Styela clava: one gene and its partners. The protein of the gene in region 3 purifies or fractionates together with the protein of the main gene of each other region. This does not show direct contact. Links are inferred from orthologs where the notes say so. Each region holds a gene or a part of one and is shown on either strand. Other genes may lie near its edges.

The links.
Region 1: the proteins of uncharacterized protein LOC120337459 (region 3) and microprocessor complex subunit DGCR8-like purify together in Homo sapiens (affinity purification with western blotting; 3 studies listed by BioGRID, with this or other methods). This does not show direct contact. The link is inferred for Styela clava from reciprocal best matches to the Homo sapiens genes USP36 and DGCR8.
Region 2: the proteins of uncharacterized protein LOC120337459 (region 3) and ATP-dependent RNA helicase DHX33-like purify together in Homo sapiens (affinity purification with mass spectrometry; 5 studies listed by BioGRID and IntAct, counting the BioPlex papers as one, with this or other methods). This does not show direct contact. The link is inferred for Styela clava from reciprocal best matches to the Homo sapiens genes USP36 and DHX33.
Region 4: the proteins of uncharacterized protein LOC120337459 (region 3) and uncharacterized protein LOC120325942 purify together in Homo sapiens (affinity purification with mass spectrometry; 3 studies listed by BioGRID and IntAct, with this or other methods). This does not show direct contact. The link is inferred for Styela clava from reciprocal best matches to the Homo sapiens genes USP36 and GNL2.

The regions. Positions count from the first base shown.
Region 1 is NC_135250.1:22,757,733-22,764,625, forward strand, and holds the start of microprocessor complex subunit DGCR8-like, read left to right. Parts: upstream 1-3,880; 5' UTR 3,881-4,252; coding exon 4,253-4,433; intron 4,434-5,097; coding exon 5,098-6,767; 3' UTR 6,768-6,893.
Region 2 is NC_135262.1:5,471,298-5,478,826, forward strand, and holds the start of ATP-dependent RNA helicase DHX33-like, read left to right. Parts: upstream 1-4,524; 5' UTR 4,525-4,679; coding exon 4,680-4,999; intron 5,000-5,737; coding exon 5,738-5,841; intron 5,842-5,970; coding exon 5,971-6,124; intron 6,125-6,755; coding exon 6,756-6,924; intron 6,925-7,428; coding exon 7,429-7,529. Other genes in the region: programmed cell death protein 4-like, read right to left, coding at 2,274-3,659. UniProt on the Homo sapiens protein: Implicated in nucleolar organization, ribosome biogenesis, protein synthesis and cytoplasmic dsRNA sensing. Stimulates RNA polymerase I transcription of the 47S precursor rRNA.
Region 3 is NC_135259.1:3,939,870-3,946,722, reverse strand, and holds the start of uncharacterized protein LOC120337459, read left to right. Parts: upstream 1-3,829; 5' UTR 3,830-4,011; coding exon 4,012-4,168; intron 4,169-4,610; coding exon 4,611-4,721; intron 4,722-5,456; coding exon 5,457-5,551; intron 5,552-6,097; coding exon 6,098-6,245; intron 6,246-6,673; coding exon 6,674-6,787; intron 6,788-6,853. UniProt on the Homo sapiens protein: Deubiquitinase essential for the regulation of nucleolar structure and function. Required for cell and organism viability.
Region 4 is NC_135253.1:12,000,873-12,008,815, reverse strand, and holds the start of uncharacterized protein LOC120325942, read left to right. Parts: upstream 1-4,917; 5' UTR 4,918-5,095; intron 5,096-5,670; exon of another isoform or gene 5,671-5,694; 5' UTR 5,695-5,746; coding exon 5,747-5,810; intron 5,811-6,169; coding exon 6,170-6,263; intron 6,264-6,397; coding exon 6,398-6,492; intron 6,493-6,979; coding exon 6,980-7,113; intron 7,114-7,471; coding exon 7,472-7,585; intron 7,586-7,664; coding exon 7,665-7,802; intron 7,803-7,943. Other genes in the region: TATA element modulatory factor-like, read left to right, coding at 1-1,129; 2-oxoglutarate and iron-dependent oxygenase domain-containing protein 2-like, read right to left, coding at 2,055-2,318, 2,398-2,655, 2,905-3,129, 3,247-3,411, 3,699-3,848. UniProt on the Homo sapiens protein: GTPase that associates with pre-60S ribosomal subunits in the nucleolus and is required for their nuclear export and maturation.

The DNA of each region.
Region 1 (6,893 bases), on a different chromosome or scaffold from region 3:
ATTATTATTCCAATTTCGTTCTTTATATTTTAATCATAGTTATCGTGTATTATTATTTTTTGCTTTGATTGGCACATGCTTCTTTACGCTATTTGATATCTCTATCATTATTATTATTACGATTGAAAACTGTTACAACTTAAAAGTTACTATCAAATGACAGAAATGTGGATGTTTTTTTATTACTCTGAGGTCTTCGATGAATAAATTCAGGATTTCTTGTGACAGGCCTCTATGTTCCACCACCAGTTATTTGATAATAATTTTTTGGTTGAATATAATTCTTATTATTTGATTTTTCTTAATTGTGGCTGTTTTCTCCTTTCTCTCTTTGCGCTGTATGCGAGCAATATAAAGTACTTCTCACTGAATTTATATTAGTCATTTTGTTAACAGGGTTCTTGGGTGGAAATGTGATTTCAAGAAAATAACACCGTGGTATTTATGTAGCAACAAAGTACTTGGAAGTTGCAATATCGGAGTCATGCCTTGGCTTACACCATAGATTCGAAATCTACGAAGTTTTTATTGGCATCGGTTAGTCCCCCGCGAAAAATCTATGACGAGAGAAATACTGGTGACATCAACTCTCAAATTGTCAAAGAAAGTTAGAGATAATTAGTATATATGTTGTGTATTTAGTCTTATTATTTTCACCGATGATTTGGATTATTTATCACTTTGGGGTGTGGTTCCCAGGCTGTGCGTAGCGAAATATCAATCTTTAAAAAATTATCATTTACCCGCCTCGAAAAGTTTACATGAAATGATCAAATCCGTTGAAAACGTACGACTGGAAATCTGACCGCGTTATGATAGTTTATGTGCGCATACAACATTAAGTATCGCATTTATTGAATATATATATTATTAGGCTTTTCACTGTCGTAGGGATTATTATGACAAAATTATGCGCTTCAGAAGTGTGTGTACCAATGTGGAGGTAACTAATTTTGTTCGCCTACTTTACATCAAGTTGTGTAAATGTAAAGGGACTGAAACCTATGGGCAGTGGGTATGTTCACTTGGCTAACACAGACAGTCCCCGAACTCGTCATGTAACTAAAATAAGGAAAATCGGAAATAAATTGTGGCCTAACCCTAACTTGGTACACACACAACGGGAGTACCTATTATTAAGCTTTTCACCGTCGTAATTCAGTATTATAAAAAATTCGAATAACCAATGGAATAATTTTGTATGTCAAGTCGCCTAGCCTTGTGCGACAAAGTCCCCGGGTGCACCTTCAAGTACTACACTAGATAAAGTTATAGGGTATCCTCAGGGAACACCTTTCTTCGAATTCGTTACATAAGATGCACTAACTCTAAAAGGTCAGTTTGGTAAGAAATGGTTGTTTATTTCTTGGTTTCCTCACAGGCAATATATGATTCCCAACAGATTTAAAAACCTACACAATGCTGAATGCAGCATTTACTGACAGTACTTTCCCCGACAAAGATGAGTCAAATCATAGTCAGAAAGTTCTCCCTATCAAACATGGTCAAGTTACAATCGTACTTGGGCCAGTAAGCAAAATTTATTTACCATACTAAACTGTGTGAAAAAATTATTTCCCTACTGGACAGTTATTAATATAAAGGTACACACTGAATTCCCTTCCTTGCTTACGATTTTTATTGTGGCCCAGTACGATGTGCTTTTCATTTGATGATTTCCACATGTCTGCTATGTGCTTTAATCAGTAAATCATTTTACATACCGGGAATTTTCACTATTACGGTAGTAACTCAAAACTTTTAAGGTGTTTACTACAAATTGGCTGTTGTTGACGTCTTAATGGGCCAATAGAAAATAACGCATTCGAATCCTCTTACACTCATTGTCTAGTTTGGATAGGGAGCAAACATGTAGTCACTTGCACAAACAACTCAATGAACCTACAATGTTACTCGTGTTAGCGAAATGATTGTTGACTGTTGGTCCATTTCGTTTCCATCAACTTATTTGTTTTCATACTTTCTGAATAATCACTGACGAATTCCACTGTGTAGTGAAACGCATTGATTTGAACGCACCGAAAGCAGCAACCTCATGAACCCATATAAATAAATTGCCGGCGTCAAACTTATTTAACTATGATTTGTGGTAAGTGATGAATACAACTGAAGTTGATCATTTTCCCAGGAGACATAGAAACGTCAATCTTTTAATCATAGTGAACTCAGCAGTAACTGCCTCCAAGTTCAATTGTGTGATTTCAAAAAAATATCTTTATAGTGCTGGTATAGTTATTTATCATATTTAAATATTCAGTAGTCGAAGATTGAAAAGTTTTCTGAAATTCCTCTATATTCAATTGCTTTCAAAAGTGATCTTACACACTTGGCTGAAAAATCGTCACCACGTCGGTTTTCCGCCGGTTGATTTTGGCCAGAAAGCCAGTCTGCTTCAAAGCTTACTATCGCCATCTCGAGTCAGCATTATTTGTTGCATCCGTAAATATTCGTGTACGAACTTCATCTTGAATGATGGCCTACCGTACATTCACCATGTACACGCCAGTAGGGTTGGATTTCGTCTCTCTATCATTATTGTTATCATTTTTTCGTGGTATAAACTTTAACGTTAAATCTAGCTAATCGTACGGCATATATTCCATCATTTTGTTTGTTAGGATAATATTTACATATTTATCCCGGTTCCTTATTTCCAAGCCGCACCACCCGTTCCAGGCACTACCTCAGAGAACACTTCAGTATCAAACTCAGTAATTATTAGGCTACTATGATGATTGAAATGGCTAATTTTGAGATCTCGTGTGAAATAATCTTGTTTGACCTTTTTGATGAATTAATCCGACTCACTAGATTGGCATATCCCCCTGATGAAAGCCAGACAAATCCAGAGATATGCAATTTTTTCTGAATCTTGAATTATTTAGATGGATACAATCAGTTAACACTAGAGTTAGGCACGTTTCCATACGACCATATCTCATTCTCATCGTATAAATACACATGTCTTGTTGAATATTTGTCAACTTTATATTGGTACCATTTCAATGTGTTCATATCTCTGTCTACCAATTTTGGCCCAGCTTGCACGATCCAACACCAAACAGCTATACGCGTCATTGTAGTCACTTTTCGGATATTATGCTTCTCAATCTGATCACCAAAGACAACTTTGTCACAATCACCATAACGGCTATTATCATTTCCAAATATCCTCACGAGGGGACTGCAATATAATTGCGTTGGGATTCAGATTGATCAATTTTACTTAGTGGGGGTACTACACACACGCTGTATAAAATGAAGGCTATCAACTTAAATACGGATAATTTCGTCCAATCAAAGTGAAAATATTTGGATGAAATTGGAAACGATTTATTCTCCGCTCTCCAGTCTGTTTGTACATGTGTAGTACCATATTTACGGTAGTACACGTTTCTCAGGCCAGCATTCCGTTATAGTTTGCTTTTGTACGTATATATTTTAAACACTCCTCGCAGGCTTCATCGGGTTTAGCATCGAGAGGCCATATGTTTAGGCGCTTTTATCGGCTCCCCCCCCCTCTCCCGGGATAAATATGTAAATTTTATTATATAGTTATTACAGGAGAAAAGAAGAGCATAATAATATGCCGATGTAAAGCCAGCTCTCCAAACCCCATATATCGAACGTAGGTGGGGACGGGCATTTCATTTCCTCGCTTTTTCATGGTTCATCTGTAGGTAGGTATAAGATTGGCGAGTGATGACGAAACATGCTTTCGGATGGCTGCGACCTGGTTTATAGGATATTGCATTGGTTAGGTTACATATGCGTGACTTAGTGGATTGGCACGCATTACAATTGATAACGCGATGAAATATGCTTTCGGAAATTGTATCGTACACTCAGAGTCAGTATGTGTGAATGTGAGTCATCTAACTCTTATCAACGGGCTAGTGCTATTTTCATTCCAACTTCGACTGACTAACTTGCGGTGCAATATTCTGATATTATAATAATAGTGTTACTGTGATAGAATAATGCTGTAATAGCAGAATAACCATGGCAGTTTTAAACTTGTCTGCCTGTCCCTTAGTCTGTTAGTTGTCGCTTTTTGGTGTAATTATTACGGTACGGTATACCATGCTATTGGATAAAGCAACATGCTGACGATGCAGTTCATTATGCCTTTCCAAGTGGCATAATTGCACTGCATCTGAAAACATGCTGCTGTCAGTCTTCAATATTTTTATATAAAATTTAACCCCAGTTCTTGAGAATTTTAAGTGAAATGTCTGATGTAATACAAAATGACAATGGACCCGAGGTGAAAAATGGGTCAGGTTTGGAAGAAGAAGTTGAAATTAAAAAAGAATCCGTGCATGATGACGTTGAAATGATGGATGATTCTGATCATGATGACGAGGAATATGAAGATGAAGAACTTCATGAAACTGAGAATAACGTAGCAGGTCAATATTTGAATAATTTAAAAATTATTTAGTGATTTTATATATGATTATAACAATATCTTTTGCTTTTTTATAAAATTGAAGTTTCAGGGTTTTGTGCAATATTATAATGAAAATTAAAATATCAAATAATTTCTGAATTGTGTTGTATTCAACTATAATAATATACTTCCATGTTATGTCGTTTGGCATCATCTACTGCTGTACCAAAATGAACCCCTCTCATCAATCGCAGTTGAACTATTCGATCAATTTATTGACCTATGGTAAATTGTACTACAGTACTATGTTTCTCGAGCACATGAAAACAACTAGAATCTAAATTTATGAAATTCATATTGTTTTTCAACAATGGTACCGGTAATCGAATATTATTACTTCATTTTTAATTACATTTAAACTTCAAATTTATATTAGATCTGTTTATTGAAAAGTTGTTCAGTGCCACTCACAGAGTTAGGATTTAATTGTCTGTTTGTATTGGGGCTTCATGGGCTCCTAAATAGGTTGTTCTATAAAAATTATTTTATGATAATCGTCTGATATATCTCGGTTTTTTCATGATTATTGTGAATCTGCTCAAATGCAATTTAATTTTTGATAAACTACTGAATATGGTTGTCCTGGTAATGTTTTTTGATCTGATTTTTGTATTCGGTTACAGATGGACAATTGCCAAGTAGCAACCTAAACAATAGTGAAGATGCCAACGGAGAAAATCAACCTGAAGGATTGCTGGGTTACAAATACAAAACTGTGCTCAAACATGTTTCCCCGAAGGCATCAACAGAGCCGTTACCCGAGGGATGGGTAGTTCTAACTCATACAACTGGTATCCCGTTATATTTACACAAGAAGACTAAAGTTGTTACATTATCGAGACCGTTCACTTTGCTGCATGGTTTTGTAGGGAAACATAAAATAAGACTTCAAAGTATACCGTGTCTATATTATAAAAAAAATTTAGAAAAATTAAACGAATTGAAAAGTAATGTAGAATCACAGATTCAGAATTCGAACGAAGACACTGAGCAGGAAGATTTGGTAAAAGGAAAGCAGGAGCAGAATGCTAACGGAGATACAGCTTCAGATGACAAAAGTCAACTTGATGGTGTCTCTCAACCTAAAGTTATTCTTCACGATCAAAGCGACATGTGCATTGAAGACAAAGAATTAAAAGAATATTTAGAAAAACGTTTTGTATTTGAAACATTAAAAATACCACGATTTAAAAAGTGGTCACAACGTCGAGACTTTACACGAAATATGCGAAGAAAAAAATTGGAAGAAAATGATGAAAATGATTCTTCAAAAGATGTAGATGCTGATACCGGAAAACCCGGGTCCGGAAAACTTATCACGTTAACAGTTGAGCAAGAGGTAGGCCCTGATGGTACAACCAGAAATCGAAAATTCGTTTTAAATACTAACGGAAAACCAATGGTTTGCATTCTTCATGAATATGCACAAAGAGTTTTGAAAGTGCAGCCCAATTATATTTTCAACACTCGGGAAGATTCTGCCGAACCATTTGAAACAGTGATCAAGCTGAATGGAAAAGTATATGGAACAGCAGTTGCGATTAATAAAAAGACAGCCAAAAATAAAGCCGCTCTTGCTACTCTAGAAATGCTTATACCAGGATTTAAAGGACAAGTAGAAGGCGCTGCTGAAACTCCAGATATGGCATATTTCAATGACGTTTTGATTACCGATTCCAGAGTCTACGAGTTATGTATACATACTGGACAGTTACTTCCATACCAAATGCTTACTGAGTGCTTGAAACGAAACCAAGGCGTCACAGACACAACAGTAAGTTACGACGTACAGCAGGGAAAAAGAAGATCGTTAAATTATACTATGAAATGCGGAATACACGTTGTCAGCGGAGTCGCTAAAAACAAGAAAATTGGAAAACAAATGGCTGCTCAACAAATCTTACAATTACTACACCCTGAAATAAAAACATGGATGGAATTGATTACCTTATACGGAGCTTCACTCGCCCAAGAACGAGCTCGAAGAAAACGAGAGGAACAGGAGATTTTTGATCTCAAACAAAGACGAGGAAATATAGTCGAAGAGAAGCAGGAAGAACCAAGTACGAGTAAACAACAACAGAAAAGCGAAGATTCTCTCGAACCTAACCCAGAATTGCTCGCTAAATTACAAGAAATGATGTTTAAATTAGAATCGGATAGAGGGAAGAGGAAAGCTGATAATGATAATGCATTGACAGCGAAAAAAGCAAAATTGACGCCAATGGAAGCAGCAGTTGCAGCGGGGAAAGGAATGCTTAATATACCAATAGAAATGGATTTGAGTAAATAATTTTGAGTAAAAACAATCATATAACTTTCAAAATGTTGCATTTATGGCTATTTACTTAGTAAATAGATTCATATTAGTTAAACAGAATATTGTACTATGTAGCCTACTTCTTATGCTCAGAAATTT
Region 2 (7,529 bases), on a different chromosome or scaffold from region 3:
GTCGGGTATGGGATTAGTTAGTTAATTGTTTTCGGAAGCATGGACTTGATGTTGGAGGAAGCCGTAACCGACCGGCTGTTACGTGAAGCACCCTACGGCGGCGAGGAGTCCAGCAATCCTCTCGTACATAACTATCCTCGCATGGGATTCGAACCTGCGAACCCACGCAGAGTATGCGGTGGCTAGCGTATTCCTAACGCCTAGCCGATGAGTCACGCCGCCGCGCCTACTGTCTACTAGTGACTCTAGTTATTTTCAAAATTCCCCAGGCTAATTTTCGGAACAGCACGTTCTACGCTGAAATAGGGAATTCCCGTCCATCTGTTGGTCTTATAACTCTTCAATTAATATAACCCGTACTATATAATTTTTCATAAGTGGTGTCAGTCATACCGTACTCGCCGTCAAAATCCAATTTTTTGAATTAGATATTAGAACTTCGGGTGTCGATAACCAGCTTTGGTTCCCCGCGAATTACTTTCGCCAGAAAAACTGTGTAATTATCATTTTCTTGTAATTTGTGCTGGTGCGATATTTTTTTACTGGTTGGAAAAAATACACTCGATCTTGGCTAGCTATAACCAGTTTGGCATCAACAACATCAAGCTAAAACTGACTTGACAAACCTTGAATTAAACACAGAAAGAAGAGCTCAAAATAAACAGTTTCTTTGCAACCTTTATTTACAAATCCACACCGCATTCCTTCAACGACAGTAAATTCCACACAAAACGCAGGTTTAATATAAACAAAAATGCAAAAAACTAATTAAGGGTTAACCACTAATTCAAATAAAAAATAATCTTCATTACGATCATCAATTACTCGTGGACATAATTTGAATGCAAAATGCTCTTTGATTCTGTGGTGCAGAATACCGAGCAAGGAGTCTCGGACATTTTTTCATAATATCAGAAACATGAAGAATCTTCTTCTTATTCATTATACAATGATGGGCAGCCGATTGAGCAGTTTCGATTCAATTTTGAACCTGACAAGTATGTTGCCTGTTGTCAGACATGAGCACAAGATAAGTGGATTATGGACCAGTAAGATGAAATACATTAGTACTAAATTATTTTAGTCAGGGTACTTAATTCTTGAGAATCTAGAATTCATTTTGTCATAGGAAATGATCAAGTTAAAACATAATCATAATTTTCAGATTATATCATATTTTCTTACATGATCGTGCACCCAAGAAATTTCAAAATATGAAGGAAGAATATGCCATAAACTAGCCATAAGCAACAATAAGATTCTGGCCTAAATCTACAGTGCAGCGGTTTTCTGTGGTTGAGAGGGATTTTTGAAAAGCAAGTTTTACTTTTGACAAAATGAAAAGAAATGATTAAAAAAAATTGGTTTCAAATTATCTGTGAAGTATTCAAATAATATTGTTGTTGCATCTTGAACATTTTTATTCATATTATGCCAGGGATTGACCAGAAGATTCGGAACAGAGAACACCAAACAATGTATGGGTAAATACAACTTAAGAAGTCTTGACTCATATTATCAGTCACTTTTCCAATTTGTTATTTAATAAGTCCTGAGATTTTGCGGAACAATATTTAAACATGATTTCCTGTTAGTAAAGCAATGACTAGAAATACGAAAACGTTTTTATAGTTGTATATCGCTTTGCCGCAAAAAAATGTCAGGATTGGGACACATCGTGTATTCCCAATGAAATTAGGAATTTCATTTGCTTAAAATTGCAAAATCAGAAACGTTTGAAAAATTTATCGTCTTCAGAAAAATTAGATACGCATAGGTTGTGGCCTGAATTATCAATGTGAAACAACAGTAACCATATGTAAATAATTTTCTCAATTTGTCGGGAAAATTTTTTTTTTGCAAAACTTTGTGTATGCTCGAAATTAAAAGGCAAATTAATATAATAAACAATCAACAAAAATACAGGATTTTAGAAGAATCAGATCAAGAATATCATTGAAACATAATGAAAGATTTAAATCATTATCTCTAGCAAATTATTTGTTACAATTTGCAAGCAAACTGCATTTAGATGATAAATTGACATCTTTATTAAACCATAATCATCATCGCTCATAATATGTGAAAGGGTACAGTGCAAAAGACGAAATATTTTTTGATAACTGAGTAAAAATATTGTAAAGAGAATTTTTTTCCACAGTTTGTAGTTTCCTGGAACTTATCGCATAGAACAAGCATTGAGATTTACCGTGCCACCTACAGAAATCAATAAAAACATAAAACCTCAACAAAATCACCGACAAGCATGTTGTCTATGCTAAGTCAAAAAAGCGATCGCCATATTTTCCTCCGCTGAATCTCCCATGATCGCCTTCGCTGACAAACCGCTTACGACTTTTTGTTGGCACAGACATCATCAGTTTTGCATCAATAATTTGGAGATCATGACATTTCTTCACAAAATTTTGCAGCTGTGGATATGCCTTCGGAACATCGATACTCAGGTCTGATATTTCTCCATAGACTCTCTTAAATCCATGCACGAGCTGGTCTGCAGTAACAACGACAGTATCAGCGAGTCTTTTGAAAAGGTGGACCATCATATTTGCAGAGCGTTCATTGCTTAACTCAATCAACATAATGATAGCCTCGTAAACGACCTCGTGATTAAAATGAGGGACATCGAGGTCTGTTATGCAACGTATTGCTTCCTCGGAATCACCAGATGACAAATATTCTTTCAACAACAGATTAATTTTCTTTTTGAGTAAAATCATGGGTTGGTTTCCACCTCCGACTCCCCAAATGTGACTCAAATTATAATGCGGAATACTCAAGAGCAAACGCGCTTCTTTTGCGCAAGACTTTCCGTATTCGTCATCATTCAGAGAAGCAGCTTCAATAATTCGGCTCAAAATTTTCTCTTCGATTATCTTTTCTGAAATTGCACGAGCCAGAAATCTTCCAAGTACTTTTGCTGCATCAGGAGTATCGAGTACCAGCTCAGGTAAACTATCACAAAGATCTAAGAAAGCATGACTCAAATCTTCGGCGTTTGCATAATATATTATCTTGGAAGCATTTTCCCCGCTGTCATTTTTTGATGACAATGGTGCGACTAATCTTTTCAACAACAGAGATGCCAGCTCTCGGAATTCATTCTTCTTCTCCATAGCGAGTGTTATCAACACCACAATCACCATGTATTTGCGATCGGATACATTAAGACCTTCAACCGATTCATGGACTTCATCCTGCTGTCCATGTTCAAAATATTCTTTGATAATTGGTTGTAAAGTCTTTATAATTTCATCTTCACTCCACACTGGTGTGACAGGCTTGTACATAATATCGTTGTCTTGCTCTTCTGAATCATAATTTGGATCTTTATTATCCATAACACCGTCAGTTAATAATTCCTCGCCGGGTCGGCCCCATGTTCCTTTTCCCCCTCCACCACCTTTCTTTGGCAATCCCCTGCCATAAATTGTGCGGGATTTACGATCACCTATTTTTCCTGCACGTTTTACTGCGCCGTTTGACACTCCATTACCATTTCCAGACTCAGAGTGTCTGCTGTTCTGGCTATTTGATGAATCTTTGCGCGTACGTCTCTTTTCTTTAGCTTTTGCCGCTTCAGCGTCCATTTTTACTTCCACTTTGGCATCACCACTGCCTTCTTTTTTATCGGTATCCATTCTTCCCTTTGTACTTTACTTTACAATACCAAATACCGACCAAACAAACACAGCCAAGCTTTTAAAGTTTTAATTTGTCCTGCAAACTTGTTTTCATGAATCGTTCGATAACCTCCGTTCACTTTGCACAGCAGATCAACAACTTTGCAGACACTCGCGCTTTGCGTGCACACTCCGTCGTAAACAATGGTTGAGAATAGAAAATGGGTATGACATGCGGAAATTGTCATTTTCTATGAATTTATATTTCTGTTCATTTTGAAATTACACATAAAAATATCTGTACAAAGCTGTATCTGAGGTTATAATGGTTTTAGACGCAATAAATTATAATTTTAGTGACAAAAAATACAGACGAAAAAATAAATTCAACTATACTGCCACTGGAATGAATATAAATACAAGTATAAAATTGAAAATTAGTTTTGCGTAACTACAAATGTCTTTATTATTATCCCCAATTCAAGAATATTGATCAATCTGGAAATATTGGCTTTTCCAGTTTTTTTTAATGTGCTTTAGGTTCGCATTTGTCTAGGGAGAGCCGTATAAATAAAATTGCAATGATCGTATTTGCTCAAAATTGCAATCACTGAATAAATCTAGGATACAATAATAAAAGAGATAGAAAGTCCGATTTATTATTGTTTATACAATAATAATACAATCCATCCTGTCCATACCACAGCAATTTTATTTCTGTTACATTTTTTTCACTGTATGTATTTTGGTTGATAAAATAATAAATATATCTCTCTATCTCTCTCTACTATACTCCATCTTATAATGGGGTTCAAATAATTTCCCGGATTTCATCAATTCTGTTTTTTTACGATTCGTAAACACACACGTAGCCACCATGGCGTGATGTGATGTCATAATCAAAATACCAAACCACGTGTTCTGTGACGCCATTCATAAGGAAGTATACAGATTTAGTTTCTGTGGTTTGCGTAGTTTAAAGAGACTAGTTTCCATTATGCCAAGTGACTAACAAAGCTAAAATAGATTGACTTAGTAATGGCGGGAATCGCTCTCGAGGTTTCGCCAGCAAACGCTCCCCAACCTTTAAAGAAAAAGCGATTGCTCCAACATCACAAAAATGGAGTTTTGAGTCAAAACGCATTGGCCGCTGTTCGTCGTTCACTCCCCATATTTTCTGCCAGAGACAGACTTATTCAAGAGTTGAAAAAGTCTCCAACAGTGATTGTGATCGGTGAAACTGCTAGTGGAAAAACTACACAAATTCCTCAATTTTTGTTAAAATCTGGCTTGGGCAAAACAGGCTGCATCGCATGTACCCAACCAAGAAGGGTAGCAGCGATTACTATTGCTCAAAGGTATATACATTTGGCTCATGTTATTTCAGTATATTCAATAGAAAATATTGTCATAACTTCAAATGTAAAATGAATAACTATAAAACCACAGATTTATGTTTTGATTTGCAATTGTATTTGTGCAATTTGACATACAATGAAATCATATATTTTAGATTACTCCATTTTCTACAATTTATTCATCTATATAAATCATTTTTGCGCAATATTTTATTTTAAATAACTAGACTAAAATTCTTTTGAGAATTTGGAATTTTATGGTCAAGACTTCTAACCTTGTAAATAGAATATCAATCTCCATTAATTTACAATGCTCTAATCATATTTGTTGTTCAGTATGACCCAATTTTAACATAAACTCTGTATTCTATATTTGAAAAATGTTATTCCAGAATGTATTCAAAACTGTAATTTCTATTTTTAAAATTTGACACAATTCAGGATTCAAATTAAAATAAATATACCAATATTACCACATAAATTGGGCATTCTTGCTGTTAGTACGCTTGCCCCTTACTTACCTCAAAGCGGTTCTGAATCTGTTCGTGTATTTTGGAACCTTAGTGTTTGTTCTCTGGGTTTGGCAAAATACTAATCACTCTACAGTTTGAATCAATTGGTTTTATTTTTTTTATGTGACATAAGTACTGGTTATGTATGGCACAACTTTGAACAGGGTGTCCATAAAGTTTTGAGATATTTTAAAGGAAATTTATTGATTTGTAATTTTATTTTTAGAGTATCAGCTGAATTGAATGTTAAGTTGGGTGAAGAAGTCGGTTACTGCGTCAGATTTGAAGATTGTACAAATGAGAAAACAAGAATAAAATACATGACAGACGGTATATTCATTTTCAATTTTTATCTTCCCTGTTGAAACGTTGACTTTCCTGAAATGGTGCTTGAACTTTTGACTTTAATTTTTAAAATGATTTCCAAAATAAAAAATTTTTCAACTATTGCTTACACAGGAATGTTGCTGAGAGAGTCACTTGGAGACAGTTTGTTGTCAAGGTATTCATCCATTCTGTTAGATGAAGCTCATGAAAGAACTGTTCATACTGATGTGTTGTTTGGAATCGTAAAAGATGCACAGAAGTCTAGAAAAGAGAAAGGTTTGCCAGGGTAGGTTATTTTATGTTTTTACTAATTTTTGAATAATTTATGTCTCAACACTAATAAATTGCAAATATTTGCCAAAAATTCAGATATTTATTGTTTATATTATATTTTTGACCCCTGTTTATTTACAAGGGGGTTTAGTTTAGTTAAATTAATAATTTGTGACTACTGACTATCATTCTTTTATTTATCTTTCAATCAAGTATATTTCTGCATTATTTCTTGTAAATGGAAAAACTCAAATTTTCAAGATTTTGTTTCATTTATTTCATGGGAATGTTTTTATAATGAATTCTACATTTTGCAGCATTCCTGTAGTGTGTGTACCAGGTTAGGATTAGGCCATAATTTTATTCCAATTTTCCTAATTTTAGTTCTATTACGAGTCGGCGACTGTGTTAGCCAAGTGAATATACCATACCCCCTGCCCATAGGTTTCAGTCCCTTTATACAACTTCATGTAAAGTAGGTGAACAAAATTAGTTACCTTCATATCGGTACACACACTCTGGAGCGCCAATATTTTCAGTGAAGTTTGCTGAGCTAACCTCGGATCTTACTGGTAGTATAGCTGAGCCTTGCTTTCCTGCATTTCATTATATTATAGTATTTTATTTTCCTTATGTAAATACAGCCTCCGTATCATAATCATGTCTGCTACCATGGACGTAGATCATTTTTCAAAATATTTCAACAAATCACCTGTACTCTACCTCGAAGGACGGTTACATAAAATCGATATTTTATACACAGAAGAAAAACAATCGGACTACCTCGGAGCAACATTAGTTACTATATTTCAGGTGATAATTTTGCGTCATTGACTATTGGTAGACTCTTTTAAATTGCAAATGATAATTTGATCATTTATCTTTTGAGTGATCAAAGAATTGAAATCGCTGTATAGTCTGCAAAATCTGAACGGCATGTAGAAATCTGTAGAACCGCAAAGTATTCAGACCAATTTCCCTTTATCAATGGCAACATAGTCAGAGTCAGGGCTGTGCAGTTCTTACTGGAGATATACGATAAGTAAAAGCCGAAGTCATTATTACAGACTACTCGATATCTGGAGTTGGAGACCAGGGTCGTACTCGTAGCCAGGAATTTTCACATGGGATGGTTCTGAAATTCCAGTTGCCAAGTTAGATCGCATCATCTTAAAAATATGGTTTTTTAAGAGTCTTCAAGGGTCTAGAAAGCTACGAAAATTTGCAGAAAAGTTTTTTTTTTTTACATTTTAGAACTGTAACATTGGCCTTTCTATGAAATTTGATTAGGATGATTTGTAACATTTCTAATAACAGATCCATCAAGAATCAAATCCTCAAGAAGACATTCTGGTGTTTTTAACTGGACAAGAAGAAATTGAGTCGATGTGTCGAACAATAAAAGATTTATCGATTTC
Region 3 (6,853 bases):
GGCGAACAATATTTCTCCATATCAATGTACACACTTCTAGAGCGCCCTTTAGATCTATTTATTTATAGCTCGGGTACTTTGGCTCGGCGGTGTGGCGCATCGTGCTAAGCGTTAAGAATCCGCTCGCCACCGCATCTCTGATGACCCTTTTTGGGTTCGCAGGTTAGAATCCCATGCGTGGATGATCATGTGCGAGAGGATTGCTGGACTCCTCGCCGCCGTAGGGTGGTTCACATAACCGCTGGTCGGTTACGGCTTCCTCCACCATCAAGTCCATGCTTCCGAAAACAAATAACTGGCTAACTAATCCCATACCCGACCTGGACTGGTAACCGGACGAGAGGCCGTGGTTTGCCATATGATTAAGCCGTATTATCGGCTTTCCTCTTCCCCGGGATAAATATGTAAATCCTATCCAATCCCAGCCTATTACGGAACCAGGCCACGCAATGATATTGAGATCGCCACGCAAAATATTTAAGGCGATAAAATACGGGCAAATACAGGTGAATGGGGAAGCGATTCCGATAAGCCATCTTGGCTAATGTTCTGTGGTCGTTTTTGTTCGCTTTTGACTGATATATTGGCTATATTATTAACCATGACTCAAGCAAATTTCTAAAACTGCCAAAATTAGCACCGTATGTTGGGCTGGGATATATAAGCGTTTGATATATAATGGGAAACAAGTCAAGATCAGGAGAATATGCGAAAAAAATTCACGCAAATAATTTATTTTGTGTCAAATCTCATAAGAAATGCATTACGCGCCTGGGCAAAGGAAGCATATCGTCAAAACGAGAGAGCCTTTAAATGATCCCGCGGAAAGGAGAGAGAAGCCGTGGTATTAATATGTTAAGTAATATCCGGATCTGGTTAATCCCACCTCCGTCCACCTTGAATGCTTCGACGACAAATTAACGTGAGCTCGACAGTCTCGTGGTTGTTGAGCTGCTGGTGATGTACGGCTGTACGGTAACGGTATGGTACCGGCAGACAGATGAGTTAATAGTTTACTTTTGCCTTAGGTTTGTAGGTTGTTATAGCCGAAGGCAGTACAATCCGCGGGTCTGGTATAGTTTAGTACCACATGTAAAGTTACTTCTAGTTGACCTGGCTCAACAATTTTCGCATATGTCAATCCTAACCCCCACCTGACTACGTCACCGAAAAATTACGTCATTTCGACGTCACAGTGGCGTAATAAGGCCCACCGAAGTATGCGGATGGTCGTCCAAAACGCGCAGACGATCACCCGAAATCGAGCAAGCAATTTCTCTCGTTTTCTCGTCACAACGATCACGATCGCCGGCTTTAGCAAGTTTGTTATCGGCGGCGCAGATGACATTTCTGGCGATCGTAGTTATACTTTGGCAATCCCTATGACGTGATGGTGACGTCGTAGTGACGTAATTTTTGGATGGCATAGTCAGGTGGGGGTTAGGAATAGCATATGCAAAATACTGAAATATACCGGAAGTACTTGTGGTACTAAACTATACTAGACCCCAATCCGCAATTTGACGAAAGCAGTACCGGTACCGATAATTCATGCAACCTGCTTGCTAGCATGGCATTTTGGGTCTAGTATAGTTTAGTACCACAAGTACTTCCAGTTGGCGTAGCACGGTGGTTCTCAACCTGTGGTACGCGTACCACTAGTGGTACACGAAAGATGATCAAGTGGTACGCGGGCAGCCTTGAACTATTGCAACAATTAACTTTTGAGTTGGCCAAAATATGCCTGACAACGCTTTATCTTCCATACTGTATGTATTCGCTGAATGGCCTTCATGAATGTTTCCCTGTGCATCAATTTCCTTGTTTATTTCCGTAACCAGCAACAATCAGTAAACATTGCCTCGTTTTTATAGTTTTGCGTGTTATTTGTCAGTTTTCAGTTGCATTTCAAAAAAAATAGTTGTGAATTAAATATCTTAATTGGTATTATGTCTTCAAAGGAGCATTAATTTTGTTGCTTTAATCAAAAATGAGTCTCGCAAATGCTGCGATAGACTAATCTAAACTAAGCTATCAGTGCCTGTAAGCGGCACATGGTTGAATAATTTTAATAAAAATGAAGGTTTTCAAAATTTTTTGCAATAGTAAAGTATAGGAAGAATTTTTCTGGGGTCAAGGGTCAGAGAAACGTCTTACAGTCTTATGGACCAGTCCAGCCTTTAGAGATCGCCCTCGCCTGCTATTGCCCACGAACGAATCGAGATGGGCATGTTTTCGTCCGTCTTGCGAATTAGGTCACTAAGGATGTAGTGCCACGTTATAAAATACTCCCATAGCATGTGTCTTGTGCCATTGTTCCCTACGCCAAAAAGGGGCTATTTCAGTGGTACGCGGCCAGAGTACAGGAGTAAAAAACAGTAAAGTGGTACGCGGTCAGTAAAAGGTTGAGAACCACTGGCGTAGCATAACGAGTTTTCCATATGTTATTCCTAACCCCCACCTGACTATGCCATCCAAAAATTACGCAACTACGACGTCACTATCACGTCATAGGGCTTGTCAAATTATAATTACAATCGCCCGTAATGGCATCTTCGCCGTTGATAACGAACTCGCCCAAGCCGGCAATCTCTCTCCTATCGTGATCGTTGTGACGTAAAAACGAGAGAAATCGCTTGCATCGAATTCGGGTGATCGTCTGCCCGCTTTGGACGACCATCCGCATACTTTGGTGGGCCTTATTACGCCACTGTTACGTCGAAATGACGTAATTTTTCTGTGATGTAGTCAGGAGGGGGAGGATTGACATATGCAAAAATTGTTGAGCCAGGCAAACTAGAAGTGCATGTGGTACTAAACTATACCAGACCCGGCATTTTTAATATTGTTACCGGTACCCCTAAATCGAATTATCAAAAGCGTACGCCCACCAGAAGTATGTTAGGTACCGGTACTACACGAGGTAAACTACACGAGACCTTGGTACCGTCGTAGTACCGTACCTCCTAATATTTCTAACCTAATCTAGTCTGCTAGTCCAGTAGTTTGATTATGAAGTTAGACACCTGCTGACCTGAATAATGATCGACCGATTATTCCAGAAGTGCGGAATCATGTTTATTTGTTTATGTTTGTTGTGACTTGTTTTCTTACTCCTTCAGTCCTTCGGTAGGTGAACGCGTTTTATATGTTATAAACTTGTTTTTAGGTTTTGTCCACTTTCCTGATTCTTGGCCTTTTCTTTTTTGTATATTGTTTATTTTTTGAAAATGAATCATAATAAAATCTATCTATCTAGTCGTTCTTGTTGTACAATTTGACTATTTTTGCCCTGATAGAACCCATCTTACTGCAGTACTGTCTTACCCTAGAAATATGGAAATACTGAAATACAGCACTGCATCATGTTGCAGGTACAGATATAATATAAAAGCAGAAAAACATCTAGTGGAAATACAGAAATAGTTCTGAATGTAGCACTTATAGTCTTCGAAGTTTCATGTGACGGCCCACGCACGTCGCGATTGATTTGATGCATTATCAAAACAAGCATGGCATGATCTGTCACCAGAAGCCCTTATTTCAGTGTGTTTGTTTTATTAAACCTAATGTCGGGACATCTTGAAATTGGAGAATTGTATCCTATTGTAGAGTAATTAGGCTAATTGGTCAGATAATTTTTTGGTCACCATAATTTGTGAGAAATGAATGATTTTTAATTGTCTGCAGGTCTAGTAACCTCGTTATGATGACCTAAGTTGTAGACCAATTGAATTTAATTATAAGACGTTTCAGGGACAAATAGTTTTTTTATCTAAATATTCTGAATATTACGACATCTTGGAATTGAAGTAACTATTTTACTAATAACTGATTTTATCAGTTTTTAGGTTTGCAGATAGGGTATTGTTCTGTACTAGAACGATTATATTGCATGTAGATAACCAAATATTGTCAGTCAACACTGGACAAAGGTCTTCTTCATTTTCTGCTCATTAATTAATCAAATATGTTGTCAATATTGATGAGTAATGGGAATTCTTTTGCATTATGACGATATCGCAACAAATCATTCAGTCATTGAGATCGGATTCTCATATTTCCACTGGCAATTGTGGAGAAGAGAATGAGGAAGGCGTTTTTGATCTTGATGAACATCTTCGAGCCGCGTCGAAGAAAGTTTTGCTGCAAAGAATAAATTTTGTAGGTTAGTCTGAAAGTTCATTAATACAAATGAAAATTGAAATACGGTAGTTATAAAATTTGCTATAGCCATATTTATATACAGGGTGATCCTAAAAAACAGAACTTAAAATTGTTTAATTATACGAAAAATGAAGAATATTTTTCAACCACTTAAGCTTCTCTTTGTGTATGATTATACCCAATTTCAGTATTCCCAATGACCTGTTTTTATCACTTTGTGTTAATTTAATAATGTATCTGTTCTACTGTATTTGTAAAATTTGAAATATACAATTCTGGAATGTTCCAATGTAAAATTTGTATTTTTTTGCAAATCTAATATATTGTAAATTTATTAATCGACAATGAATTGGTTTGTGAAGAAAATTCTGGACTTCCACGTCATCATCATCAACCATTACTAAAACATATTCCTTTATATTTATTTATTTTAATTCTTACAGAAGCGAAGCAGCCATATCACATAAACTTGAAGAAATTGAAATCAAAATACGTTATCCTAAATCCAAGTCAAAAAAGTGAAGCAACTAAGAATTCAATCACCATGTCTCCAGGTAGTATTAATTGAAGACTAGATCGAATTGAATTTGGATTTTCCATTTCCAAATCCTAAACTGTTATTCATTTAGTTTTCATCGACTGATTGTTAGATTACACGATTTTCTGTACCAAAGTACAATTATTATTTAACCAACTGTGCATCGAAAATGATTTCAAGTGAGAAGGTTAAATTTTTTCAAATTTACCAAATTGGTTTAGAGGCATACATACTTGGATCGAGAACAAAATAATCAGTGCCCATTCTCCGCAGGACTGTGTCTGTTTAGTGTTTATATTTATAAGAACTACATGAAAGGAAATCAGCGCATTTTTTGCATTCCCAGCAATTTACAGTAGCTCTGAAATAATATTTAACATCTAGCACGAATTATATTGTTAGACTCGTGTCATTAATGATAATATCGTTCAGTTTAAGTTATTAATTTATCAAGTGCGATCGGAGGTATGCGTGTATAAGGTGAAGTTTTAGTGCGATCAGAGTTATGCGCATATAATCCGACCCTCTTAGTTTGGCAACCTTTTTTTTTGAACTTTAAACTCTGCTTATGTTCGAGGAGTTTTAATGAGATTAATTGAGCATTTTGTGTACCTATAGCTTTTTAATTATTTTGCTAAATTGTTTGTTATTTTTATGACGAAAATGGCCAATCACTCTGAAATTTCTAGCAGAGTACGAGTTTGTTATCTTTGTTTTTTTCTATGCTCACGTTAGTATTTTTCTGTTTTAGCACTTAAAGTTAATGCCCCAAGCACTACTGAAACATCTGGAACAGGACATGATGGGATACCATCACCTAAACATACAATATTTTCAGCTGACAAGGTGTCTTTTGTTTCTTTTTTTAAATCTTTCTTTAATTTGACTTATAATTTCTAGACTAAAAATCTATTTGTTGATAGTTTTTCTCCAAATTTTGTGCCATATTACGATACTTAGCTATCTATGATATTTTGTCATAAGGAAGGAATTGGGTATATGCGTTTACCTAGTATGATATGGTTTTGCTAGTATTCATATTTTTAAGTTTTCGAATATGTAGAATCAATTTGCTTGCTATTTGGTTGATTACTAAGTCTTTTCCAAAGTCACATTTCCCATTCCATGATCAAGGAAGATAATTATTTAATGGGAGTCAAATTTAACAATGACAAATTGAGTCGTTATCGCTAGTACTAGTGCATTATCCTAAGTGCTTTTGTTTTATGTACAATACCATAGCCATAGTATTATTCACTTTGTCATGGTGGATATCAATAATGCATAAGAGAACTCTATATTAGTTCACACCTTTACCAAGAATGTGCCAGAGAAAAGTTATAATTATCATCAATTTTAAAGAAAAAAAATCTAATTTTTTGTAACAAACAGGTTGAATTGTCTTGGAAGAAAGCTATGCGTGCCGGATCTGGACTTTGTAATTTAGGAAACACCTGCTTTTTGAATTCGGCATTGCAATGTCTCGCATACACTGCACCTCTTGCTAATTATTTAATACATTTGGATCATCGAAAACATTGTAAGACTTTTTTTTTATTCAGATTCAAATAATCCTATAATATTGTTTCAAAACTATTTATTTTTTTATAATAGGTTTGTCTTTTTGTGGAAACAGACGGATTTTAATTGTGAAAATCAATTTTTTTTCACATTATGCACCAAGTAACCATCCTCATTAAGATAGATTGCCTCTGGGCAACAGACTATCCAAGTTTTTTTGGACTAACTAGATCCCCTACCTCAACCTCTAATTTGTGTCAAATTACTGTTTGACTAAAATTATTGTTTACAAGTAAAATCATGATAAACTTCAATAATTTTGCTGTACAAATTTCAAATCAGAAGTGATAGCAGAGCAAAATTACATATAAAAATGGTGCCTAATTTCTGGCGTAAATATACTAGGTACATAAGTAATATTGTACAATGTACATCCATCATTTTCAGGTCAGGTCAATGGACAATTTTGTATGTTATGTGCCATGCAACAGCATCTACTCAGCATACATTCCAACTCAGGACAGCCTATAAAACCAATGTATATTCTGAAGAATTTGAGAAGTGAGTATCCTAGATGTAGCATTTGTTTGCAATGTGCAGATAGTCTCAGAAACTCCGTCCATTAAT
Region 4 (7,943 bases), on a different chromosome or scaffold from region 3:
GGAATTGAATAACACTGTGTCAAGGTCTGAAGCAGCGGCATCCAGAAAAGATGACGATCACAGGAGAGAAATAAGAGAATTACAACAGAGGATACAAGAATCTGAGGGACGCAATCAAGACTTGAGTGATAATGTTTCAAATACTACAAGGCCCCTCCTGAGGCAAATTGAAAACCTTCAGGCCACTCATTCATCGCAACAACGTTCATGGAATGCGCTTGAGAAAACATTGAACAATAGATTAGGGGAAGCACAAGCTGAGTTATTAACTGCCCGGGAAAATGAAAGAATTGCACAGAATGGTGCCATTGAAGCAAAATCAAAAGCATCTGCCTATGAAAAACAAGTTGAAAGTGCTCAGAACACTATATCTCAGCAACTTAAGGAAATAGATATATTGAAAAATAAAGTTGATGAATACAAAACTCAAACATCTCTGGTTTCTGAGGAATTGGAAGAATTGAGAATTTTACAAAAAGAAACTGTACACAAATCTAGAAAAGAACGTCTTTTCTTAGAAAATCAACTACAAATGGAAAAGGTACGATTGGAAGCGGAACGAAAAAAATTTGCATCACAGCATGAAGCACTTCAAAAAGAGAAAGAGAGAATGATGTGGAGTAGATCTGAGATAACTTCTGTTTCCAGCAATCAGCTTGTTGAAACCGAGTCAGTTGGAAGCTCAAATGATGCATTCCATTCTACTGAAACATTTGACAAGCATATGAGCTCTAATTCTCTCCCTACATTAGCTAGTCAATTGTCATTAGACTCTGGAAAGCCCATGTCCTCGTCAAATGTTTTAGAAAATCTTCAGACGATGATCAAGCTTCGTGATGGTGAAATAGCTCAGCTACGAGGTGACATTAACATGCTTGAAAGAACTAGATCATCAATGGCTGAAGAAATAGTTCGATTAACAAATTTAAATGAAGATTTGGAAGGTGTTTCCAAGGAGCTCCAAACCATGAAAGATAAACTTGCTGATGTTGAAGGACGTTATTCTGCAATCTTAACCATGTATGGAGAAAAGGAAGAAGAGAATGAAGAGTTGAGGATGGACCTAGCGGACGTAAAGGCAATGTATCGGCAACAAATTAATGATCTTTTAAAAGTGGATCCATCATGACCAAAAGTTTATTATACATAATCCTGTGATTACTGCATATTTCGAGTGGATAAAATCCGTCATTCAAGTTTTGTTTGAAGCTGGCATTGATAACCTTGACAAGTCTTTGTATACAAGCTGAAAACACTGATGCAAGTTTTCAAATAGAACACTATAGATTTATAATGCTTTTGTTAGAGACAAAACTATAGCTAATTGTTTAGAGAAATATCAATGCAATTTTTTATAGAAGCCGATAAGATTGCCAAATGCTTGTTAGGTAATTTGTTGTTCACTGAAGCATTTTGTATCAGTTGGTCCAATTATTATTCGCATTGGTATCCATATGGTGATTGCTTATATATTTATTCATCGGTGGCATTGTTTTATATTTTTATTATTATAATTAATGCTTTATTCTTCCAATGTCAGTGTAAACAGGCTAGCACTTCGAAAGCGAGCTTTTTTTCCAGCCCAGTCCGCAATACGACTATACCACAAGTGCAATGCATTGATTTGATTTTGCACCTGTGGCACGGTTCAGTGGTATCTGCAACGAATCGACGATTGCATACTTTTATCCGCAATTGGTGTGCTTGTGTGTGCAATAACTGATAATCATCCACAGACTAGATAGAATTGACGGGCTGCTAGAATCATAAAATAATATTCTCAGTAGACTCTCTTCGCAGATAATAATGAAACCCTTTTATGCTTTCTATTATAAATGAATATATTTATTGCAATTAATTATTTAAAAATACTTAGCAAAAGCAATTGAAGGAAACTGTAGCAATGACACGATTTAAGTAGGCTGTGGGCCTCAAGCTAAACCTTTTTCTAAAATACATTTGAAAAATACCTTTTCTAATTTGGAACATTCTTAAATTTGATTAGCCACGCAGCTTTTCACATTGTAGTATTTGATTAAGTGTGGCACGAGTCGCTAATGTAAACTGCATACTTGCACTGTTAGTGTGTCATGTCTTGTAAATCCATCACCAAAGCCAATAGCAGGTGCGAGTGTGGGTTTGTTATCACACATAGGGCAAAGCTGGTTTCTAATTGATGAAGATCTCATCCATATAATCAAGTTGGTTCTTTCGCCATATGAAATGGGCATGGCACCATGTTTGTGTTGTCCTCTGTGTAACACTCCTTCACCAACTTTGTGTTTGACTTCCACAGTCTTGTCAGACCTATTGCATTCCTGTTGAACAAAAAAACTAATAATCCCTCTTTTGGCAGAATACGAAAGAATGGGCAACTATTATTATTCAAACCCATACCTGCCTCATTGAACCAAAATATAGGCTTCCATCATCAAAATCTTTTCCAAGGCACACATTCAAGGTTACCTCTGCATTATCATAATGATATCCCAAGTCTAAATCTTGATCTTCTTTATAATTGACTGTAAACGCTTTATGAGAATCTAGTTTTTCATCCACCCAATCCGGGAATAGAATCTTCGCAATAGGGTCAAGGTAACATTCACGCAGCGGTGTAATAAAATCCTCATTGAATCCTAATTCATCAAGTAGAATCTGAAAAGCGGGAGATTTAGGCTTGTTATAAATTAATAACAACTACAAGAAATCTGATACCAATGGTACTTGAAAATTTCCACAAACTACTAAAAATTTTGCCAATTCATTGCCTCCATATCGAAAGCGTTTTCCTAGTAGATGGTGGTGATTTTGGCCAATGCAGATACGGAAAAACTGTCGGTAAGCATGCGCGTTGTTTTTTGCGCATGTGGCACCTTGCACACTGTTGGCATTTCTAATACTCACTCCACCATTATTCATTGTGTTTGGACGACCTTTTGGCATATTGCTACTTTCAAAATTGTTAAGTTCTTCTGCTAAGTTTTTGCAAAATGTCTTCTTAAAAACTGGCAATCGATATACGCCTTCTACTTTTTCTTTCTTCAATTTTTTCGACAAGCTTGCAAATGTGGCATTTCCTTCTTTAGCATGCTTGACAATGGCCAGAAATTCTTCTTTCAAATATTCTTCCTAAATTAAGAAGATTTGATACTCAATATGTACTTGATGCAATTGTATTTTTTTTATTCCTGTTTTTGGACATTTTATTGCAATAATATATCATCTGATGCATATATAACATCATACCTTCAAGACATTCACTTTGTGCAAAGGTGCATAACAAGCCTTGATTTTACTCTTCCGTTGTACTGATTGTGCATCTATATTTTTTCTTCTTGTACTCTCTTTTTCAAGTACAAAAAGCAGTTTATTCTTCTTTTCTGGGGTGGAACACCCTATTTCCTCTAAGAGCTATAAAAAAAGAGGCTGATGGTATAAATAAAATCAAAGTTCAATTGATAGTATTATACAAGATTACATATAAACAAAACTGAAATTTAGAAATCATGGAGTGGACAAAACCTTGGGTATGTTTTAAAATAGAAGCATAAACAGAGATTCTTCGCTCACTTACCAAATATAAAGGTATGTATATACAAAACAGGAATGAAATTGGGTCAATATTGAAGTATTATCTAAAGTTCTTGCCCCAAACCAGCAAACAATATAATATTTGGACACCTGACAAATATACTCACTTTAGAATTTTGCTGAATAAATTCTTGACCGTTATCTTCAAACTCAAAATGTTTCCCATATTCAGCAGAGTAGAAATTTCTGGTAAAATAACATCTGCAGCGGAAGAAAACACTAGGCTCTGAGCCAACGCTCATGGTGAATTGTGCCATTACCCGGTTAGTTCAGTAGGTTGCACCGAAATTGTAACAGTGTCATTTTTTCTTTTGTTAGTTTGTTTAGAGTATTTTGAATTAAATGCAGCATACCGAGATATATATATATATATACCATTGAGGAGTTAAGTCTTGAATGAGTCTTGTTTAGCCATGTATGTAACAAACCGGACACACCATGTCCGATTTTAAATTGACTCCTGCGTTATTGCAGCTACCAAACGGCATGTTCCTGCGTTCATCTCTGGGTTATGTAACCATTGATTGATGACTGTCAATGATGTAATTGTAACTTATACCTCCAGAGTGGTGTTCATCATCTCTCACCAGGCATCCGGCTGCTGGGATTGATATCATGAATCGTATCAAAATAATAGATACCGGTAGGCTAACCTGGAGAAAGTTAAAAAAAAGTGGTTTGGGTACGACCGTGCGGTGCCTGTACCGGTAATGGATGAATGTGTTCGTATGACTGTATGAATATATATGCAGTTTTTGGTGATTTTTTGTTTGTTTTATAGTGGTACGGTACCGGTATTGGGTTCTGTCTGGCTGTGTAGTTTCGTTCCTACAGACCTAAAGTCTGAAAGTAGCCTACTTCTAGTGGTGGTAGCATAACATTCTTTGCATATATCAATCCCAACCCCCACCTGACTGTGTCATATATGGCTTAGTCATGGTGGGGTTGTATGTATGTATGTTTATTCGTCTCGTAAAAGCAATATAAAAGAGTAAGTAATTATAAATACTGAAGACGGGATGTATGCACAAGACCATATTGGCCTAAAACACAGATCTGCGGCATACACCCCTTTTGATATATATAAATTATAATAGGGTAAATCAAATATGTACAATATGGTCCTTTATACAGGCAGTTGTGCAAGGAGGGTGGGTGGATGTCAGGATGTGGTAACAGGGATAAGGGTGGAGTGTACAAAACTGTTTGTACAAAGGAGTTTGTTAGACAAAACAACATCTATAAATAAAGACACAACACAACATGAAATACACTGGCATATGAATATAGTAATAAAAAATTTTTTTTTAAAAAATTAAGAATTTGGATGAATGTACAACACCATTGAGTGATGATACCACATACTATAAAACGCGGGAATAGTTAAGTTTAAAGGGTGTGTACATATATGGTATGCACCACTCAAGGGCGATAGTGTTATAAGTGGTCTATGGCTGTTCTGGCCAAAATGTGACCCTACAGGTTTTGGTGAAATATGATAAAGGTATGTATCAGGTATGTATATGATAAAGGTATGAGATTGATCGTTACTAGAAATACTTGAGGTACGAAACTACACAGGATTTCACGCTTTGGCGCTTTTTTTAACCTGCACTTGAATTTTTTGAAATGGTTCGAAGTTGTATGTAAGTTGAATTGTCCCAACCTCACAGTTGAGATATTTTGAAAATATTCAATGTTTTCCGTTTTTTGGTATTTTTTCATGTAGTTATTGTTTTACATTCAACTCTTGTACAACTGTACAATGAAAATAAATATCTGAATCCAGCCCTATTTTGCATCTAAAATTGAACCATACCGGTCCTATTAGATGACTGTATATTAAATATAGAGACCTAAATCCACTTGGACATGTATATCTAATATTTGTATAGCCTTTATCATTGTGATAGTGTACGTGTTATTTCAATATGATTGTATATATATAGCCCTCGACATTTTTATTTAATCTAGATGTAATTTTTATACACTTAATACAGTAATAGCGATACAAGTTTTATTGGCATTTCTGTACCAGAAATTTCCATTTCCAATAAATCCTATTAATTATAATCATGTATTCAGTATAAAGTATTATTCTAGGACAACAGGACAATAATACTTTACTAATAGTTTTGATTTGTAACAACAAAAAATGGCCAAAACTAAGAAAAGGAATGAAGGAAGGATAAGGAAATCTGCATCTGGAGATAATCCAGGTATGTACATCAATGTGCAAAACTCTTAGGAATAGCATGTTTCTATCAATAGTACGCCATTTCTGAACTGAAACTAAGCTATCTAATATTTTAATATACAGTATTCGTATGTTCAATTGGCAATCCAATTTATACTGGTTCGAGAATGCAAAATACGCAATTACTACTTTATTATTTGGGTATATGGATCCTATAGCACAAATAATTATTATCATGTAATTCCTCTTGTTTTCGAATTATCCAGATTTTGGGATTAATTTACCATATTATGTCCATTTCACCCTAGATTCAAATTTAAGTACAGTGGATATATACAATTGTGAATAAATATATTTTTGTGCCTTCTTAAAAATATACAGACCGAGCTAAAGAAGTTGGCAAAGGAGGTCAAAATATGAGAACAAAGGCAACAATAAAGAGACTTAATATGTACAGAGGTGGAAAGGCTGTGAGGTAAAGTCTGATTTTGATTAATTAATGTCTATAATGGTTACCACTAATTTGAAACTATGTTTTTATTTCTTCTTATTGCACATTTAATTTAACTCATTTGTAGCTCGTCTCATTTATAACATCAATCTTTCTAGAAATCGTAAAGGAAAAATTGTGAAACCTCCTGAATTTCAAGGAGAGCTTCCATCTGGTACACAAGCACGAGTGGAACCAAACCGAAGATGGTTTGGTGAGTTTGAATAAGTTTATACTTCATTTTAAACTGTCTTATTTCACTGAGACATGAAGAACACATATTTTACTCAATAAATAGAATTTTAATCTGGCAATTGTTAATAATTTTATGATAAAATTAGTTTGTCTAATTTATGAACTTTTTTTTTGTGGAGGTGTGACATAATTGCCCTTAAAACAAACAGTCATTATTTATGACAACCACTATATTTTTTGAAGAAAGGAACAGTTGCGTATATTTCTGGTCTCTCACAGTTTGTTAAATTTTATATAATATTTATATGTTTATGGAAATATGGTTTGGAACAGGTTTATAACATATTAATCAGTATTAGTAAGGCCTCGGCTCGCGACACTGTCCAGAATTAGGCTGTTGAAACATTGGGCCAGGTCAGCCCTTATTCATAAATTCTTTGGGAAGTTTTGGAATTAAGATTATTACTTAATTGTATGGGCTATAAGAGTTTTGTATTCTATTGCAGGTAACACAAGGGTCATCGCTCAAAAAAATCTTCAGAGATTTCAGAAAGAAATTGGAAATGTTATGAAGGATCCATATCAACTTGTGTTAAGAACTGGGAAATTACCAATGTCATTATTACATGACAGAGCCAAGGTAATAATTTATTTTGTGTGTGATTTTGAAAATTGAACAAAAAATGAATAACTTTTTTAAGGAGAAATCACAAAAATTTTAGGTGTACGAGTATTTTGTTCAGCATTTTATTGCTTCAAATCACCTTAATCCATATATACTGGGGCCGATAGTGACATCATACTTCCAAGTTCCATATAGTTTTAGTTGCATCTGGTATTACTTTTCTTCACTTCAGAAGAAGCCGGTTGGACCTTTCTTGGGCACATTAGTAATGAATATCTGAAATTTTAATTATGCCAAACGAAACTTACACTATTAAGCCAGTAACAAACTGAAAAGTCACTGTACCTAACAAATTCAATTTTTTCTTATACAGAATGCTCGGGTACATATTCTTGACACTGAAAGTTTTGGGTCAACATTTGGGAAGAAATCAACTAGGAAACGTCCTAGTTTAAAATTTACAGATTTAGAATCGTTGTCTGCTGAGGTGAGATTATTTTTAGGTAGAATTATCGAACATGTTCTAATCATCTAGTATTTTTTTGAATTACATCTTTTTCTTCCAGGTTGAAAAATCGTCAGATCTCTATAAAGAAGAAAAAGATTTGGATTTAGTACGAGAGGATGACGGGACAAAAAATGTTGTTCTTGGTGCGTACTTCACTGCTGGGCAGTCTAAGCGCATTTGGAATGAACTGTACAAGGTATGATTATATTCAGAACAAGAACAGGAGTATGAACCACAGTGTGCTACTGAAGGAATGTTGAATGATGTTTGGTATCATTTAGCTATTCTAGCTAGATAGCATGATGTTAAGATTTTGGTTGATAGTGTGGAAGTGCTC